Arabidopsis thaliana: one gene and its partners. The protein of the gene in region 3 interacts with the protein of the main gene of each other region in a pairwise test. Each region holds a gene or a part of one and is shown on either strand. Other genes may lie near its edges.

Evidence for each region.
Region 1: the proteins of UPP (region 3) and TY1 interact in a two-hybrid assay, tested with the Arabidopsis thaliana proteins (one large-scale study listed by BioGRID).
Region 2: the proteins of UPP (region 3) and TL29 interact in a two-hybrid assay, tested with the Arabidopsis thaliana proteins (one large-scale study listed by BioGRID).
Region 4: the proteins of UPP (region 3) and AHL20 interact in a two-hybrid assay, tested with the Arabidopsis thaliana proteins (one large-scale study listed by BioGRID).

The regions. Positions count from the first base shown.
Region 1 is NC_003070.9:28,811,166-28,814,985, forward strand, and holds TY1 (thioredoxin Y1), read right to left. Parts: upstream 2,000-3,820; 5' UTR 1,784-1,999; coding exon 1,598-1,783; exon of another isoform or gene 1,323-1,597; coding exon 1,234-1,322; intron 1,043-1,233; coding exon 865-1,042; intron 774-864; coding exon 708-773; 3' UTR 520-707; downstream 1-519. Other genes in the region: EC1.1 (egg cell-secreted-like protein (DUF1278)), read left to right, coding at 1-418; AT1G76770 (HSP20-like chaperones superfamily protein), read left to right, coding at 2,404-2,551, 2,627-3,213. UniProt on the Arabidopsis thaliana protein: Thiol-disulfide oxidoreductase that poorly activates chloroplastic malate dehydrogenase (NADP-MDH) and fructose-1,6-bisphosphatase. Provides reducing equivalents for peroxiredoxin Q.
Region 2 is NC_003075.7:5,776,994-5,781,533, forward strand, and holds TL29 (ascorbate peroxidase 4), read right to left. Parts: upstream 2,580-4,540; 5' UTR 2,487-2,579; coding exon 2,250-2,486; exon of another isoform or gene 2,171-2,249; coding exon 2,069-2,170; exon of another isoform or gene 1,920-2,068; coding exon 1,832-1,919; intron 1,751-1,831; coding exon 1,650-1,750; intron 1,581-1,649; coding exon 1,540-1,580; intron 1,465-1,539; coding exon 1,334-1,464; intron 1,241-1,333; coding exon 1,134-1,240; intron 1,056-1,133; coding exon 918-1,055; intron 840-917; coding exon 705-839; intron 620-704; coding exon 509-619; downstream 1-508. Other genes in the region: GRF1 (general regulatory factor 1), read left to right, coding at 7-164; AT4G09012 (Mitochondrial ribosomal protein L27), read right to left, coding at 4,092-4,099.
Region 3 is NC_003074.8:19,956,030-19,961,019, reverse strand, and holds UPP (uracil phosphoribosyltransferase), read left to right. Parts: upstream 1-1,944; 5' UTR 1,945-2,013; coding exon 2,014-2,151; intron 2,152-2,170; exon of another isoform or gene 2,171-2,263; coding exon 2,264-2,365; intron 2,366-2,452; coding exon 2,453-2,531; intron 2,532-2,761; coding exon 2,762-2,820; intron 2,821-2,910; coding exon 2,911-2,988; intron 2,989-3,078; coding exon 3,079-3,160; intron 3,161-3,267; coding exon 3,268-3,316; intron 3,317-3,392; coding exon 3,393-3,454; intron 3,455-3,617; coding exon 3,618-3,685; intron 3,686-3,757; coding exon 3,758-3,813; intron 3,814-3,907; coding exon 3,908-3,955; intron 3,956-4,036; coding exon 4,037-4,106; 3' UTR 4,107-4,430; downstream 4,431-4,990. Other genes in the region: AT3G53910 (malate dehydrogenase-like protein), read left to right, coding at 574-595, 796-1,055, 1,120-1,164; AT3G53890 (Ribosomal protein S21e), read left to right, coding at 4,971-4,990. UniProt on the Arabidopsis thaliana protein: Uracil phosphoribosyltransferase (UPRT) that catalyzes the conversion of uracil and 5-phospho-alpha-D-ribose 1-diphosphate (PRPP) to UMP and diphosphate.
Region 4 is NC_003075.7:8,318,829-8,322,856, reverse strand, and holds AHL20 (AT-hook motif nuclear-localized protein 20), read right to left. Parts: upstream 2,320-4,028; 5' UTR 1,886-2,319; coding exon 1,040-1,885; 3' UTR 505-1,039; downstream 1-504. UniProt on the Arabidopsis thaliana protein: Transcription factor that specifically binds AT-rich DNA sequences related to the nuclear matrix attachment regions (MARs).

The DNA of each region.
Region 1 (3,820 bases), on a different chromosome or scaffold from region 3:
GGCTTCCTCCACAGTGACAGCTCGCCCTCTCATGAAACCATCCATGGGGACGTCTTCTCCTACCACAAGCCTTGTGTACAGGCTCAAGCTTGATGAAGATACAGGGTACTGCTGGGACTCACTGATGCAGCTCCAACACTGTTCTGGAGAGCTGATCTTGTTCTTCCTCAACGGTGAGACTTACATTGGCCCTGGGTGTTGCAGTGCTATAAGAACCATTGGACGCAAGTGTTGGCCTACTATGATTGGTGTTCTTGGTTTTACTGCTCAAGAAGGTGATATGCTCCAAGGTTACTGTGATGGCAATGACTCTGACAACAATGGTGAAGACCATGCTCTTGCCTCCTCAACACTGCCTCTCTCCGTGAATTTCAAGACTACCGTTGTTAGATCTTCTGCTTCTCCTTCTAACCCTTGAGTCTTAGTATTCATCTTTACACTCCTGCTATGTTTTCTTTTGCTAAGAGAATTTTAATCTTTATGTAACTGGTGACGAATGCTTGAAAAATAGCGTCTCTGTTATTACTTTTGAGAATAAAAGATCATCATTACTCACAACAAGGTTTTACAAATCTGGCAAACATAATCTTCTTCTTCTCAAATTCTCCAAGTTAAATCAACCGAAAAACATCGCTATCACTAAGTCCTGAATAGGTCAGGGACAGTTGAAAAACATACAAATAATTAAAAAAGAGTTCATGATCCAACTATGGCTTCACTTTTAGAGAATCCTCAATTCGTTGAATGAGTTGTTTGGCCGTCAAAGCACCCTCCTGGAAATCACAAAAAAAGAAACGTTTGTGAGTGAGATTAAGAACCTTAAAACGAAAATGAAGAAATTCAAAGGCATTGAAGTCATCATACAAAGCGATCACAAGGTTCCCCATCTTTGAATAGGATGAAAGTAGGAAGTGCCTCAATCTTGTATTTATTAGCAATACTGGGGTATTTTTCGGTATCAATCTTCACCACCTGTATCTTGTCTTTCAGGGTTTCACTCACTTCATTGAGTATTGGAACCATGAACTGGCAAGGACCACACCTGCCAAACAAACAGTACATTCTGATTCCAAATCATCTGTTTAACAAATAAACTCGATAATAAGCAAACAGACTACACTGGATCCCAACATAGACCAAGTATACTCATTCATGATGAATAATAGTCAACTAGAACTGGTTGATGACCACTCAACTAACACATGTTATCATTTGACACCAAAACAAACTCACCAGGTTGCATAATAGTCAACTAGAACTGGTTTATCAGAGTTCACAAGCAGATCCTCAAATGAGTCAAATGTCTGCTTCTTGGCTTCAATCTGAAGTATGAACAAGAATGGTTTGTCATTTAGTTCAATCTAAATCAAGAAGTAGATAAAGGCACTCACTTTAAATCAATTCCAAACTCTAGAGAAAATCAGCTATAGAAACTAAAATAAGAAAAATTTCAAAATAGGAAAGCTATCATCAGCTCTACCATCAGAAGAAAGTTTGAAGCTTGAATTCAATAATTCATAGGGTAAAATTAAGTAAGCTAGAATTGAACAAAATATAAGCTTTGGAAAAAGATGTTTAAGCAGAGAAAGGCGATTACACGTCGAGGAGTGCATCGAGTCGTTGAAGATAAAGATGGAAACTTTAAGTCTCCGGTTCGAACCCGACGAACCGGAAACTGAAATTTGACGGCCGAGATAGAACGAGAAGCGAAAGCAGAAACACCTGACGATTCTTTCGAATTCAGCGACGGAACCGTAGAAGAAGAGAGAGAAATTGACGCCATGAAAGAATCAGAAAAAAACAAACGATCTCTTGATTCGGCGTTGGCGGTTGGTTAGGTTGATGATGACAAAAAAAGTTGGACACTTGTGGAAAAAAAACTCGAATTGACCAAAAAGAGAGAACGAACTCTGAAAGAAAATGACACAAGGTACTAGAAAGACAATGATGATCCACTACGGTCAAGTACACCGTATCTTTTTTGTTATAGGCCCACAAACATGTTCTAGGCCCACATGTTATAGGCCCGTTCCCAAACACCGATCACTCTTCAATTTAACTTTTTGCTCACAATCTTCAGGCTCAATCATATGACATGACAGATCTCATTGTAAATGCAATCGCAAAGGGTTATCATTATCAACTAGTACTATAAAGATAGCTGTTACTTCCCGCCAACGCAACTGGGACAGTTAAAACCGTTGAGGGTAACAAAAGACAAAACTCACGACTCCGTTTTTGAGTTTCCTGAAGATGGAAGTTACGAATATGTTCTTGTGGGCCTCTTCAAAGAAACGATATGAAATAGCCTAATTTAAACAAAACTAGAAAAGTGTGGACTAGAGAGAGACTTTAGCAAAAACTAAAAACAGATGTATCAAAAGAAGCTCACAACTAAAAAAGATGGAGCTTGAATTAGGTCTGAAGATCACTCGGACTAAAGACGATGTTTCTTCCTCTACAGATTTTCGGGTTGCCAGAGATTCTTTTGGTCATCGTTCACTTTCTCGAGAAACCAACTCTGTTTTCTTCCTCATTCTTCATCTCAAAGGTTCTATTCCCTCTCATATTTATTCACCTTTTTTTCTTACCTAGCATAGAGATTGAGATTGAAAACCAAATGCAGGATTTAAGAAGGATGGTATCGATATCGAGATAAACAAAGAAGGGAATCTGATTAAGATCAGCGGAAGAAAACAGGTTGAAGAGATGGTTTTGGTAAAGTGGGTGGAATGGAAAAAGGAAACAGAAATAAAGGAATTCAAAAAAGTGTTTCGGATTCCAGATATTGTAATTCTTGACAAGATCAAAGCGAGGTTTAATGAAGAAGATGGGACTTTAACTGTTACAATGCCTAAGAAAGTTAAGGGAATTACCGGTCTGAAGATCGAGGAAGAGGACGAAGAAGAGGAGATGAAAGAGCCGATAGTAGAAGAGAAAACAGAGGAGAAAACAGAACCAGAAGAAGAAATCAAAGAAGAGACAAAACCTGAGGAAGAAAACGAAGAAGCAGAAGAGCCACAGAGAGAAGAGGAAGAAGAGGTTGTTGAGGAAGGAACAAGAGATCATGAGGGGAAAAAAGAAGAAGAAATCGAAGATAAACCAAGAAAGAAGAGAAGAAAAAAGTTTCGTTTACCATGTTTTGCAGGATCCACTCTGCTTATGTCTATTATTGTTTTCATTATTCAACTGATTCAATCCAGAAATAAATGAAACCACACTCCTTAGGTTTTTAAGATAGGGTTCTTGTTGGTTTTTAAGGATAGAACCCACTTTCTTATTATCTGTTCTTCTTAGCCTTGTTCTTTAAAACAATAAAAGTCAACGTGTAATACAATCAAAATACAATCAGTATCTAAACCAAAAATTAGTAGGAGCGTATCAGCTAATAAATGGAAAGTATTTGACCCGAACCGTGTATAACGGCTAGATTATCACCGAACCTAAGGTTTGTGTTTGCTCTGGACTATAACAAACCCTAAGTGAAAAGGAAAAAAGGAAACTTGAATGTCAAACAAATAAATTTATATACCTGCGTCTCGCGTCTCCTCTCAAGTTAAAAACACAATTGCTCTGCATTTTTTTCAATTCTCTTCTTCGATTTCTGTCTGCTTCGTTTGCCTCTCTGTTCTCTTCTTCTTCCTTTTTGAGATTTCATTATTCATGTGTTGTTGCATCTGCTTGTTGGATTCACCCTAATCTTTGGTGTGATTCGTTGGTCTGGCCTAAGAACGACTCATATATACAACGGCTCTCTCTGTTCACTTAAAAAGCAACGAAGAAGACGAGAGAGATCACACACACAAGCCTCACGTCTTAA
Region 2 (4,540 bases), on a different chromosome or scaffold from region 3:
GCTTAGTTTACATTTTGATACATTCCTCAATCCTTCTTTCTTGTGGTCTGATTCTGATTATGATGATCTTGTCAAATGTTTTTTTCAATCAGGACGATGTTGCTGATGACATCAAAGAAGCAGCACCAGCAGCAGCAAAACCCGCTGACGAGCAACAATCCTAAGTCGTCTTACCGCAACTTTGTTGTCATTTCAGTATCTAAAACCTCTCCATTAATATGTTTTTCTCTTGGAGGTGTTTCTCTGTTGGTTTCTTATTTCCTTTTATCCCCAAGCTCTCTAAGGCAGTCTAATTCTTGTCCTTTTTTGCTGCTTTTCTCAACCGTGGATACGAAAACTCGATTCCTATTATTTTTCGTTTATCTGTTTCCATTTTATCGTGATTTGACTCCTATCTTCTGTGTCTTTGTTTGTAATGGATTCAACTTCTCTTTTTGTTTCAATGTCAAGAAAAATCTTTGGTTTATTTCGAAGTTTCCTCTCATGTTATACATATAGTGTACATAGCTTATAGCTTGAGTTTGCTCAGATTGATCCGTTCGACGGGATATGTATATGCCTCGAAGTTGATTTGCTGTCCTAAGCAACTTAGCTTTGTGAATGCAGTTATGAGATCAACCTACAAACATATTCATAAACCAAAACATGAGCTTGAGTTTGAGGTAGATGAATATATGATTAAGGCAAATCGAGTGAAAACGAACCTCGTAATCAGTCTGAGATACGGTTTCACGGCTTCTTTGATACTTCTGAACCCATGGAGCAACTTGAGGGTCAGTAGCTAAGAGCTGTTCTGTTGCAGCTTGATCAGGACCCAAGAATGCAGACATTACAGCTAGCTACAAATTCCTCATACAGGTTAGTTACTTCGAGTGATCCTAGTAGATAATTCTCTGTTTAAACCGAAAATCATGTACCTGACGAGGACCCAATCCAACAGCAATGAACTTATCTTTCATCTCTTGCACAGTTGCTTTCCCCCATTGTGGGACTCTGCCTTCTGGATCAGCCTCTGTTGCATCACTCCTTCCAAAATTTCTATCAAACAATCCCCACTAACAGATTCACAACGGTTCAGTATCGATTTGAACAAAACGCCGCGACTCAAAAGCGAATACGATAGCATTGTTTACCTGACCAGCTGAACCATATGCTGTGTAAAGTAAGTTCCCCTTCTCTTCATTTCCACCACATTTTCGGATAGCCGATGCTAAATATGTAAACTTGACCGCTGATTGTCCTACAGAAACCAACCCAAGAAAGATTTCAGTTATCCACAAATACAATAATGCTACTCTTCATGAACAAGTTTTGGTATATACTATAACATTACCTGCTAATTGAATGATATCTGCATATGAAATAGGACCTCCCTTCGAGATAGAGTCAATCTCCTTCTTCACTTCCTCTATCAAACTCAACCCATCAGAAAGTCCCTCATTCTCTGCTCTACTTAGCTCAGAGCTTCACAAAAAGAAAAGAATGCATTAGACATCATCTAAAGATTACTCTTATAATGTTCTTACATCATATAACTACCTGAACCGTATGGATCCATTGGCTCCCCCGGATTTAGTAGCCTAGACAAAAAGCTAGTATCATTAAAGGGTCACCAGAGAGATGGACAAGAGCATTATATGAAGCCTGACCTTATCATAAGTCATAGCATCATTGAGAGCTAGTTTGAGTAAGGAAGGTACAAGCTCCGGTTTAGCCTTAATGGTGGTTGAAAGCAAAATCTTGATCTTTGCTGCATAATATAAAAGTGAAACCTTTAGTGCCAATAACAACCTAATGGTACCACACTAGTGTTCTTGTTTCAGATACTCACATTGAAACTCGGATCGTTGTCTACGTTGATTCAAGTCAGCAGCTTTTGCATCACCCACATTGTTAATGAAACCGTTGCCTATTAATTCCTAACAAGAGAGATCATCACTGCCAAGAACTCATCAAATGTGACATAGAGAGGACAACTTCAAGAAGATGTAGCCACAGACTATACATTACAATATCTCATTTGTACCAATGTGTATGTAATTTTTGATCGAGTCAAGTGTTAAGGTACCATTCCGACTGCAGTGCCGGCGAGTTTGAGAACATCACGGCGGTGGAAAGCTAAACTTTCACCGGAAACTTGAGGTTCAATCTTGGAACATCGTATAACAGCCTGATCAGAAGAAGAATTGTTAGCAGAAGAAATGTAAAATGGGTTAGAAGTAAAGAATGTAACAATGGTTGAAACTCACAGAGCGATGAGAAGAAGAAGAGAGTGTAGTGAGATGTTGATGATTGGTTGTGTTGGTGAAGGAAGGAACAGTGGAGAGGAAGGACACTCCTCCCATTTCTGGTTTGTGATGAGACAGAGAAGAGAGAAGAAAGGAGAAAGAGTTGTCTGAAGAAAATGGAGAGTGTGTTTTGGTTTTGTGAAGGATACACTTTTGTGGATTCTCTGTTATCCAAATCTCCCAATCATATGGGTCCATTTGGTTTCATCATATAACTCCTTTTTTTTTTTTCAATAAGAGTTTTTTAAAAGGTCAAAGATTTTTTTTGTGGTTAAAAATCCCAAAAAAAACTCATACTAATTTTTATTTGCAAGTTTAATACCCAATATTTTTGAATTGGTATAAAAATAAATTATCTAATTATTTACTGTCATAAAATACCTCATATATTAATTATTGTTAGAATTAACCTACGGCTTAACGGACGTTAACGGAACTATTTAACGGGGTTAAATTTGAATCTCATACTTTTTAATCTATATATACAATTCGGTGTTACTAACTTATCGAATGCCACTAATCCCAGTAAAACACCCAATCCAACTTCAGAGATTCTCATTTTTTCCCTTGTCCTTCTCACTCTCAGCTCCTCCCTAGAGCTATGACGGCAGGCGGCATAGACGATGATTCTTGGTGGCTAGACAAAGCTGGGAACTAACGCGATCACATTATAAGGCACATGTTACTTGCGGGGAGTATCATCTACGTCGGCTAGAATTAGAGAAACGGGAGAAAAAAAACATGAATTTTGTGCGGGTTTCATTCTACCAATAATAAATATATGAGGTATTTTATGACCATAAATATTAGATGAAGTATTTTTGATTCCAATCCAAAAATATTGGGTATTAAACTTGCAAATAAAAATTAGTATGAGTATTTTTTGGGGTTTTTGAGGATTTTTATTCATTGTCCCGCTTTAATTTACCGTTTTACCTGTTGGTTACAATAGAAACGGTACACACATTCAGTAGCAGTTACCAAACAGGGAATTGAGAAGTGGAGAAATATTGAAATCTAAGATTCATTGGATTCAATTCAAAGTTTTTATTTTATTAACTCAATCTCGAAATAACTTGCTAGGAGTTGTTGAGTAACAAAAGATATCTAAGGATGATAGAATAACACAGTCCTTAACTTTAAGCTAATGAAGACTTCAAAGTTAAAAACATGTTTCTTCTAACTTCGTCACTTGGAAGCTTCAGTTGACTCGTTTGTTTTGTTGACGTCTAAAGGGCACTGAGATACATATGGTTTCAGCTATAAAATACAAATGTTCCATCAGCAAAGCTAGATCACACAACAAAGCTTGCGTTATACATTAAGCTAGCATTCTATTTCAGGTTCCTAACACAAAACTTAAGACCGGAAAAAAAATCGTCAGGATCACACATGCTTAAGGAGCTTTGAATAGTAAGACATGTAAACGGTTTAAAAAGGGAATTTGTTCTAATGTTCAATTAGGATGCAAGTTACATACTCGGCTATCTATATAGAGGAATCAAAGGAAAGGAACAGAAGAATTTAGGGTGGCATGCAAAACACAACAAGGTTAATGCAAGAAGTAAGCATTCCATTTCAGGTTCCTAACACAACCTAAAACGAATAAGATCATCAGGATCACAAACCTAAGGAGCTTCAAACCATTACAAGTTTACGACTTGTAAAAAGATATCCGAAGGAATTCACTATTGTTTTGTTCTCATGTTCAATATCGAGGAATCAAAGAAAAGTAACAGAAGAGTTTAGGGTAGAATAAAAACCTTAAAGCCAGTCAAATCAGGGACTACGTAGTTTGGCAATTTATCTGGCTGCACAACATATCCTCATGCAAACCATTGTCACAAATTTAGAGAAAAAGTAAAAGAAAGAACGGAAAAATGCAAATACTTTATGATATACATCTACAACAATGCTATGATGACCAATTTGCCAAAATTCAGTTCAAATTCTTAGCTTTCCTCTTAAAGAATCAGGTCTCTTAAAGTCATGTAAATTGCTTCCTTATTACATATATCTAACTTCCAAACAATTTGGCATTATCTAGTTACTAATTCCATCACTAAGAACAACATTCAATCATCAACCACTAAACAAGAGTTCATAAAAACAGCTTAAATCTCAACTGCAGCATGAGAAAGGCAACAAATTTTTCCAATGAAATGCGTCAAGCATTTCACGTTTTTACGATCACTTAGCCAAATTTGGAGTTCAAGTTCTTAGCTTTCCACCTAAAATATCAAACTTTGAAA
Region 3 (4,990 bases):
AATGACTCTTATGTCTTCTGTCACAGTGTGATTGTGTAATCTTGTGTGTTTATAATAGTAACATTGGAGATCCTCGAGTGTAAAATGTCTTGTACGGGGTTGTAAACTTATATAGTTATATTACAGTGAAAATAGATATTGTACAAGTTATAAAATCCTAACCACTTGGATAATCTACACATCCTTCGATTACTTTTACAATATAGCTGTATCAATTATCTTGCATTTGTGCAATTATTATATTGAATTTCAATTGAACCAATTATAAAATTTATTATGTAATTTAGTATTATATATTTTATCAATTATAAACAATTCATACTTTTTGCTATTATATATATAAAAAAATTTTAATTTTTAATTTTACTAATTGAAAAAGATTATATCTAACCACCTAACGACAACTCCTTTCTCGGATCAAGTTTTTTCTTGGTTCTTCTTTTCTCGGGGTACTTCCTCTCGGATTCTCTATGTCTCTTAACTCGGTCTAACCCGCTAAAGCTTAGCTCACATGCGGGTCATAAAATCCGATTACCTTTTGCGAAGTATGACCGAGAGTTGAAAGAAATTCGGATGTTCCTTAGAAACTCGGACCGTGAGTCCTTCTTTCTCGTTTAACTTGGAGTGTTCAATCGTCGGGTTGGAAGTGAATCGGATGATAATCACCTTCCTTCTCGTCTTTGTCCTCCGTTTTAAGTTTTTTTTCTTCCGTGAATTCTTTTTTTCTCTTCCTCTTTCGCGGGACTTAACATTTCGAGTTATCTCCGATCTAGGCTTCCCGATCTTTCACTTCAGCATACGCTATGATATCGTTTCTAAAGTCACTCATTCGTGCTCTGGACGGAGATGATGACGTCTTCGATTTTGCTTTTGTGGCCTCTTCGGTCACCGAGCTCCCTTATTTTGCTACGAGGACAAAGATTGGGAAGAAGAGAATTGAGGAAGTGATAGATTCAGATCTTCAGGGACTCGCCAAATACGAGGAGAGAGCGATTAAAGCTATCAAGCCGAGAGTGAAAGTTACCATTGAGAAAGACATCACTTTGCTACAGAGGGTAAGTGAATCTTTCTTACATCCACAAGACATGGTTCTATGTGTGTTGTTTCATCTTTCTCTAGACTTTTGTTGCTATTTCGGTTTACAAACTTTTGATTGTGGTTTGATCTTTCTCTAAACATTTTTTGCTGTATTTGGTTAAAGACTTTTGAGAATCTTCAAACAGGGCTTAGGACTTCTTAATTGTGCCTGAATTCTCAGACAAAGAATCCGTGTCTGGTTTGTACAGTTTCAGAGATTTGTTACAAAAACTGATGAATGAGTTGAAGAGGAGAAGAGTTAAGGAGTCTAGTCTAAATAAGTTTTCAAGTTTATTGTAATAGTAAAACCTCTATAAATTAATACTCGATAAATTAATAATCTATATAAGATTAATAATTTTTTCCAGTCCCGAGTTGGGACTGTAAAAAGTGACACAAATTGATAAATTAATAAAATAATAATTTTTTTGAAAATCCTATGTAAATATATGATCCCATCAATATTATAAATTAGTAATTGTATAAATATAAAATATATATATATCTAATATATTATATGTAAGAAATTTCTAATATTTTTTTGCTTAAACTCGTATTTGTTCTTATTTGAATTTAGTTATAATATTTTACTGTATCAAAACTTTTGATATTGTTTTATAGACATGATAATTATTTTTTACTTGCAATTGGTTTTAGAAAGATATTCTCTATGATGAAAAATATCTTGTAGAAACTTTTAAAAAGTTACTACATTAGAAAACTCTCTATGTAAATTAATAAATTATTTATTAATTTATTCCTTAATTTGTAGATTTCTGTTTGGAAAGAAATTGCTAAAAATTAATATAAAAGCCCAATGGGCCGTGTAATAAGTAGACCCAAAGTTATTCGGTACAGTAGTGACGACCGGTTAATCTTCGCCCGCGCTATCGTCATTGCAAAAATCTCGAACCAGATTCGGACATCTCGTCGAAAATGGCGTGCTCAATTGGTAACGCTTTCAGGTGTTCTTCTGATACGCTGCGTTTTGCTCCCCGACAACAATGCAGCAGCCGCCTAAACCCTAATCCTTCCTCTTTCCTCTCCTTTAATTCCTCCCCAATTCTCGCACAGGTATCGAGTATATATATATATTTATTCTAATGTCCAAAGCACACTTTTCCAGTAACGCCTTTTGCATATTCAAACTGAATTTTGATTTTCGAATTTCTGGATTATTTTAAAGAATTTGGGTGCTTCTTCTTCGTCACTTTCCCGACGGACTATACGAGCTAGAACAAAAATGGCTGCGTCGGAGGCTTCCATTAACGGGAGCAACAGGATGCTGGTAATAAAACTCTAGGATTTCAATTTTCAGATTTTTTTTGAGTTTGATTTGAAAGTGAAAGATGTGAATTTGATTCTGGTGTTTCAGGTCTTTGTGCCACCACATCCTTTGATCAAACACTGGATCTCTGTTCTGAGAAATGAACAAACTCCTTGTCCTGTTTTCAGTGAGTAGATAAGATTCTTATGAGTATTTCTGCGATTTAACCAGTGTTTGTTGTTAAAGAACTGAATTTTACATCCATTTTTTTTTTTTTTTTTTTTGATTCGTTGGACAATCTTTAGCTCTTAGATTGGTGTTATCTGCTACATTGCGTTTGAATATGAGTTTTTTTAGGTTTGCTACTAGTATAAGTCTGTGTTGATCTTTAAAGCTTGAGTTTTTTTAATTATCTAGGGAATGCAATAGCTGAACTAGGGAGATTACTCATGTATGAAGCATCACGAGAGTGGCTGGTGCGTAGAATTTCACATCTCTATTATTCTTGAATTCTTCCTACCCGTTTTTTGCTTATTGTTTTTTGTTTTTTGCTCTATGCGGTTAAGCCAACTGTTGTGGGTGAAATAATGTCTCCAATGGGTCCTGCTTCTGTTGAATTCATTGATCCTAGAGAGCCTATTGCGGTTTGTTTATCCCTCAAACTCTTCCTGTCTATATTTTCTTTTCGACCTTACATGTAAGCGTTTCTAATTCTTGGTTTTGTCTCTGTGTAGGTTGTTCCGATATTAAGAGCTGGTCTTGCTCTTGCGGAACACGCATCCTCAGTTTTACCTGCTAATAAAATTTATCATTTAGGTTAGTAATCTAGCTATATATCATCTCTTGCCTGAACTTCGGATGTCAAAAATGAAAACTTTTATCAAATAGCTTATTGATGTCCCCGTGCTTCTTTTCTTTTACAGGAGTAAGTAGAGATGAGAAAACACTTTTACCATCGGTGTATCTTAACAAGTAAGAACTTCTCTGCAGCATTGTGTTTGTAGTTACTGAAGTGTTTATAATAACACCTTTGATACATCTTCTTTAGGTTGCCTGATGAATTTCCCAAGAATTCAAGAGTATTTTTGGTCGACCCAGTGCTTGCCACAGGTAAGAAAGTCTTATCATTTTAGCCACCTCCATATTAGAAGTATAGTTAGGGTTTGATGTTCAAATGTACACGATAATATGTGAATGTGAACGCATGACATGGTAATACGAATGTTTCATAGCTAGAAGCGTAGGTTTAGTAACTTAGTAACTTGTATTTTAGGTGGTACCATAATGGCGGCGATGGATCTATTGAAGGAACGTGGTTTGTCTGTTCAGCAAATCAAAGTGGTAAGCATATATATAGGAAACAGCTTTTGTCAGAAATCGAAGTGTTAATTGTTTTGATTTTTCTGATTACAGATTTGTGCGATTGCTGCACCTCCTGCACTATCGAAGCTTAACGAGAAATTCCCCGGGTAATCAATAGCAAAAGATCAACTCTCACCTTGCTTACCATTTAGTTAACTCTCTTTTTACTAAACTGTTTGGCTACTATTTGAAACATTTCAGGCTTCATGTATATGCTGGAATTATTGATCCTGAAGTCAATGAAAAGGGGTAAGTCATTAGGTTCTTTGGCTTTCCATATGAAAACTGGCGATTGTATTTTAATGTCCTTATGTATTTGTCATGAACTAGGTACATAATCCCTGGGCTTGGAGACGCTGGAGACCGCAGTTTCGGGACAGAAACACATTGGGTGAAGTGATACTTGTATGAGTTGTTAAACTTTAACAGTCACAATCGTTAGATTATATATTGTGTCTCTTGTACTTTGTTTTTGATGTGTGATTTCAGGTTCTTGAGAGGGTTTCGATAAAGAGTCAAAATTTCACAAACAAGAAAAACTGAATTCCTCATTATTACAAAACAGAGAACAAACTTGTCAACCATTTTATGTGTATCATTCTCAATTGTCTACCACAAACCATTTTGGGAAAAAGTATGCAAGAAAATCTGAAAAATTCATCCATGAAGCAAACATTTGAACCAATAATAAAAGTTTGTTATCAAATTGAATGAACTTAAGTTACTACCAAACTGAACCAGTATTTATGGTTTGGTTACGTTCGATTCCGGTTACAATTAACTGTCGGTACAATTCTGGTTGAAAAAGTTTAGTATTTCGGTTTGATTTAATTTTGTATACCGCTCTAATTGGATCGGTTTTTATTGCTCTTCAATTAAAAGTTGAAGGGTATAGTAGTCATTCCTATGAAATAAGCAAACCCTAGCTCGCTACTATAAATCTAATAAACCTATGAATTAAGCAAACCCTATCTTTGTCGCCGCCAAACCTCTCTCAGATTCTTCTTCTTCCTCGCAGGTGAGAATTTCTCCGTAGTATCTTAATCTCCTTTCACTGTATTGCTAATTAACGCATCGGAATAATCTAGGTTTCGATTTCAGAATTAGTTATCTCGTTGTGTCTTTTGTTGATTATATATTATTGTTGAATGTGATCAATTATTCTTGATGAATCTCTTAATTCGAGGTTCTATTGCTCATCTGATTAGTTTTTTTGTTTGTTTACTTGCTCAGATCGATTTTTTTTTGAAGCTAAATCTCAAAAATGGAGAACGACGCAGGTCA
Region 4 (4,028 bases), on a different chromosome or scaffold from region 3:
AAAAGGTATTGAATTATGATTTATTTCTTGATTTTTCCTTGTGAATTGTCATTTAGAAACTATCTTCTATGATTTTGCCTAATTTTTGTAAACCAAATATTTAATGATATTTTTAAAATATATTTTTCTGAATATGCATGCTCTTAACTCATAAATCTTATATATCAAATTAGAGGGAATATATCAAGTTCTATTTGGAAAAAAAAAACACTAAAAATTACAAAAGTGCATTAACATCAATAAATGATCGTTTGGTAATAGTATTTTTTAGTTAAGACTTACAACGACTTAAAACTTCATAGTATAGGTTTGTAAACTTCCTTAAGTCGTTCTCGCCAACAACATCAACCGTTTTTTTTGTTCAGTCATAATTTTGTTTTAAAGCTTCTTTCGTGTCATGTACCATTAAATAACATCAATTAATACACATAGAGAGTACGTATATGCTTTTAGCTAGTCAACAATCTCTCATTCTTTTGTTTACATAGTCATATTAAAAAATTCCAATAGCATCATGACGCGAAGATTAAAGAACCACCACTATGGACCTATGGTAAAAACCTTAAATAAAAATGATCATGAATTAGAAATATAATATCGAAACGCACAAATAGGCAATATATGCTCTCAACGTTCCTTCATCGTTGAACCAGCATTAAATATATATAATAAACCCATGGTTTTTGAGCCAACCAAAATGTAAAGTATCTAAAGATCACAAAGGCAAACACATACAAATATTGTAGTTAAATACTACTACACAAAAACAAAAAGACAAACATTCTAATTTACAGTACAATGTTTATTTATTTCAATAATTTCGTGGAGTAGTAATACTGAAAATCTGAAAGTCCCTTAATGTCGTCTCTTTCTACCTTCCCAAGCTCTATATTTCCATTAAGAACAAACAAAGCTTTGATACTTATTTATTTTTCCAACCAGAGCAAAAGCTTTGTAATAGACTACCTCAAATTGCTTGCTTATATTCATCTATATATTTATTTATATAGACCATTATATATAGAAATGGCTCACTGAGTCAGTAAGGTGGTCTTGCGTGGACCCATGTATATGGTTCGTGCCCTAGCTGACCAGCCCCATTTGGAATCAGATGCGGCGGCATATTGTAGCCTGGCCCGGCCATCCCTGATAGATCAGGCAGGTTACTACCGATTCTGGGCGGTGAGTCACCGCCTCCGTGAATCTGTCTTGAGCCGCCACCGTCTTCCTCTTCTTCCATGGGCAATCTCTCATAAGTAGCGTTAGAGAAAGTAGCAGCAATCACCATGACCGACCCTATGGCTAAGAGTGGGCCTACAACGCTACCTCCAACGACCTGACCCTGGACCCCGGCTAAGTAAACCGTTAAACCGGTTGACCCGGGTGGGGAAGGTCCAGGGAGGAAAGCACCGGTTAAAGATAAGATTTCAAACCTGCCTTGGAGAGAGACCACACCTCCTGGTGCGGCGGCTTGGCGGAGGGTGACGTTAGCGACTGAGCCTGTCCCGCTGAGAACGCAAACGCCGCGTTGCCTGCGTCTTGAGAAGTGAGCGATTGTGTCGGCGACGTCACTGCCGTCGGAGATCTCCAAGACATGGCTACGGAGTGCGTTGGGGCTGTCTCTTGTCACAAAGATTGGAGCTTTGGGTTTGTTTTTGGATCCTGGTGGTCTACCTCTTGGTCTACGGTTGACCACCTCAACGGCTCCTTCTCTAGGATCATCTTCTTCGTCTTGGTCGTTGTCTTGGCTCTGATTCATGGCTATTCCAAGATCTCCTTTGGTAAGAAGACTTTGGTGGTGATGGTTTTGGTGATGGCCTGAGGAGACCGAATGGTCCACCATGCCCGCTAAACCACTCTGGTTCGTCCACCAAGGGTTTGCCATGATTGACCAAAAACTGGAAATTCGCTAAAAAGAAAGATCAAGAAATTGTTACCCTGATGATTTGCTTGAAAGGCCTCTAGGGTTCCAACTTTACAAGGTCAAAAGGTGTATATGTAGCTCTTTCTTGAAAAATATTATCTTTTCGTTTCGATTTCTCTAATTTCATATGAATTTTAGGAGTTGTTGATGACAAATAAAGAAGAAAAGGCTACGGTAGGAGAATTAGATGCAATTGTGGAATGGAACTAGAATCAAAACAAAGCTATTGAGACTTTGATTTTCTTTTCAAGAATCAATCAGAGAGAGAGAGAGAGAGAAAGTGGGCAATAATTAATTTTTCACAAGTTAGTATTATTTATATAGGGTTTATATAGAATCCAAGAACGCAATACTATGTGTGTACTCTCTTTTTATTAATATATAAAATATACTGGACAATTTTTATATGAGTCTATTTTAAATAACAGTGGGATTGAATACCGATTATGCCAAAGTCCTAAGCTCCATAACGTATTTAATGAATTCATCTTATAATTTTCTGCCAGAACTTTAATTATACACTCATATTACTGAGGTTGCCTAGACAAGTCTTGGGTTTCACATGGTGTAATATTTTAGGAAAGATCGGTTTATGGGGAAAACTATTTTAGAAAACATATTCTTGTTTACTCTGATACAATTTGTAAAACCCCAAGACCAAAAGAGATAAATGTATTGTGTTGGAATGTTGTGGCATGGGGAACTAGCCAGATCATTTTCTTCTTTCACTAGAGTAGTAAATATTAGTATCATATGTTTTGCAGTTTATACATACAATAAGTGTAGTTATCTTTAAATAAATGAAGAAATAAATGAAATGTAATTGATAGATTAGCATTGGAAATTAGGGTTAAGTGGGGCATAGTGCGCGTGAGCATTGGGGTGGTGGGGAGCACGTCATTTTCCCTTGCCCCGACGTCTCCACTCTCGACAACTCTTTTACCCTATTTCTATAATAAGATATGACTGATATTGATACGTTTGAATATAGAATCCAAAAAAAGAATAGTTAATCCAAAGTATCCAATCTAATTTACAAAAAAAAAAAAAAAAAATTTCTAATCTAAAACAAGTACTTTGTACACTTGAATATTTTGAATTTTCACCTAATAATTAAGTAGCTAACGGTTAAAACGAGTCAAACTTAGACCATCTATATAATGTATTCCTCTATTTCGTTTTTTTAAGAGTCAATAATCTGTAGCTTTAGTTATTATTATTATTTTAACTCATAACCTATGTTAAAAACAATATATATATAACATCAATATTTTAAGCCACAATTTACCGCTACAATCTCAACTAATCATCCCGTAAACCACAATTGAAACCATATGGAAAATTCTTGAACCATGTTCTAAATCCATAAGGTTTTTCTAAGCTAGTAGTTACAAGGCTGAATCTACAAGTTTAGTAACTTATCTTTGTCTAACTGGCTTTTAGAGGTATTTCATCTCAAAAACTCTTTGACACTCTAGTTAGAATTGAGATAATGTGAGTTGCCGGAAATTGAGAAAACTATGAGGAAAGAAGATAGATTTAGTTTTGGACCTAAGGCAAATATCTAGTTTTCATTAGCTTAGAAAAGATGTTAATGGAAGAGCATACAAGAAAATATTTGGGAGTTGGTACTCTTCAGCAGACGAATGTGACTATGCAGAGATTTTGACGAAGTATACGAACATAAAAGAGATTTTGAATCAATGTAGGCAGGACCGACTCAAAAATAGCAAAAAGACACAATGGTCTTTGTTCAAATTTGAAATATGGATCCTAATTACATAGAAATGTTTTTTTAAGAAAAACATTTGGTCCTTTAATACGCTAAATTTCATGTTTGTTTGAACATGGATCTCGTGCAAATGTATTCCTTGATAACGTCCGATACATCGGAGATTCAAGATTGGAGAAGAGAGACGAAGAAGAAGATAACAACTTTTCTTATTCAGCTTAAAGTGTTGTTACAACCAACTTAACTAACAAAGTAATCGAGATTAAACTTATAGACATAAGATTATTGTGGTTAGTAAACCACATTCAACCAAACCAGTGATAACCGAAGTTAACCGGTCCTATATCCTTAATATCCCCCCCTCAAGTCTCT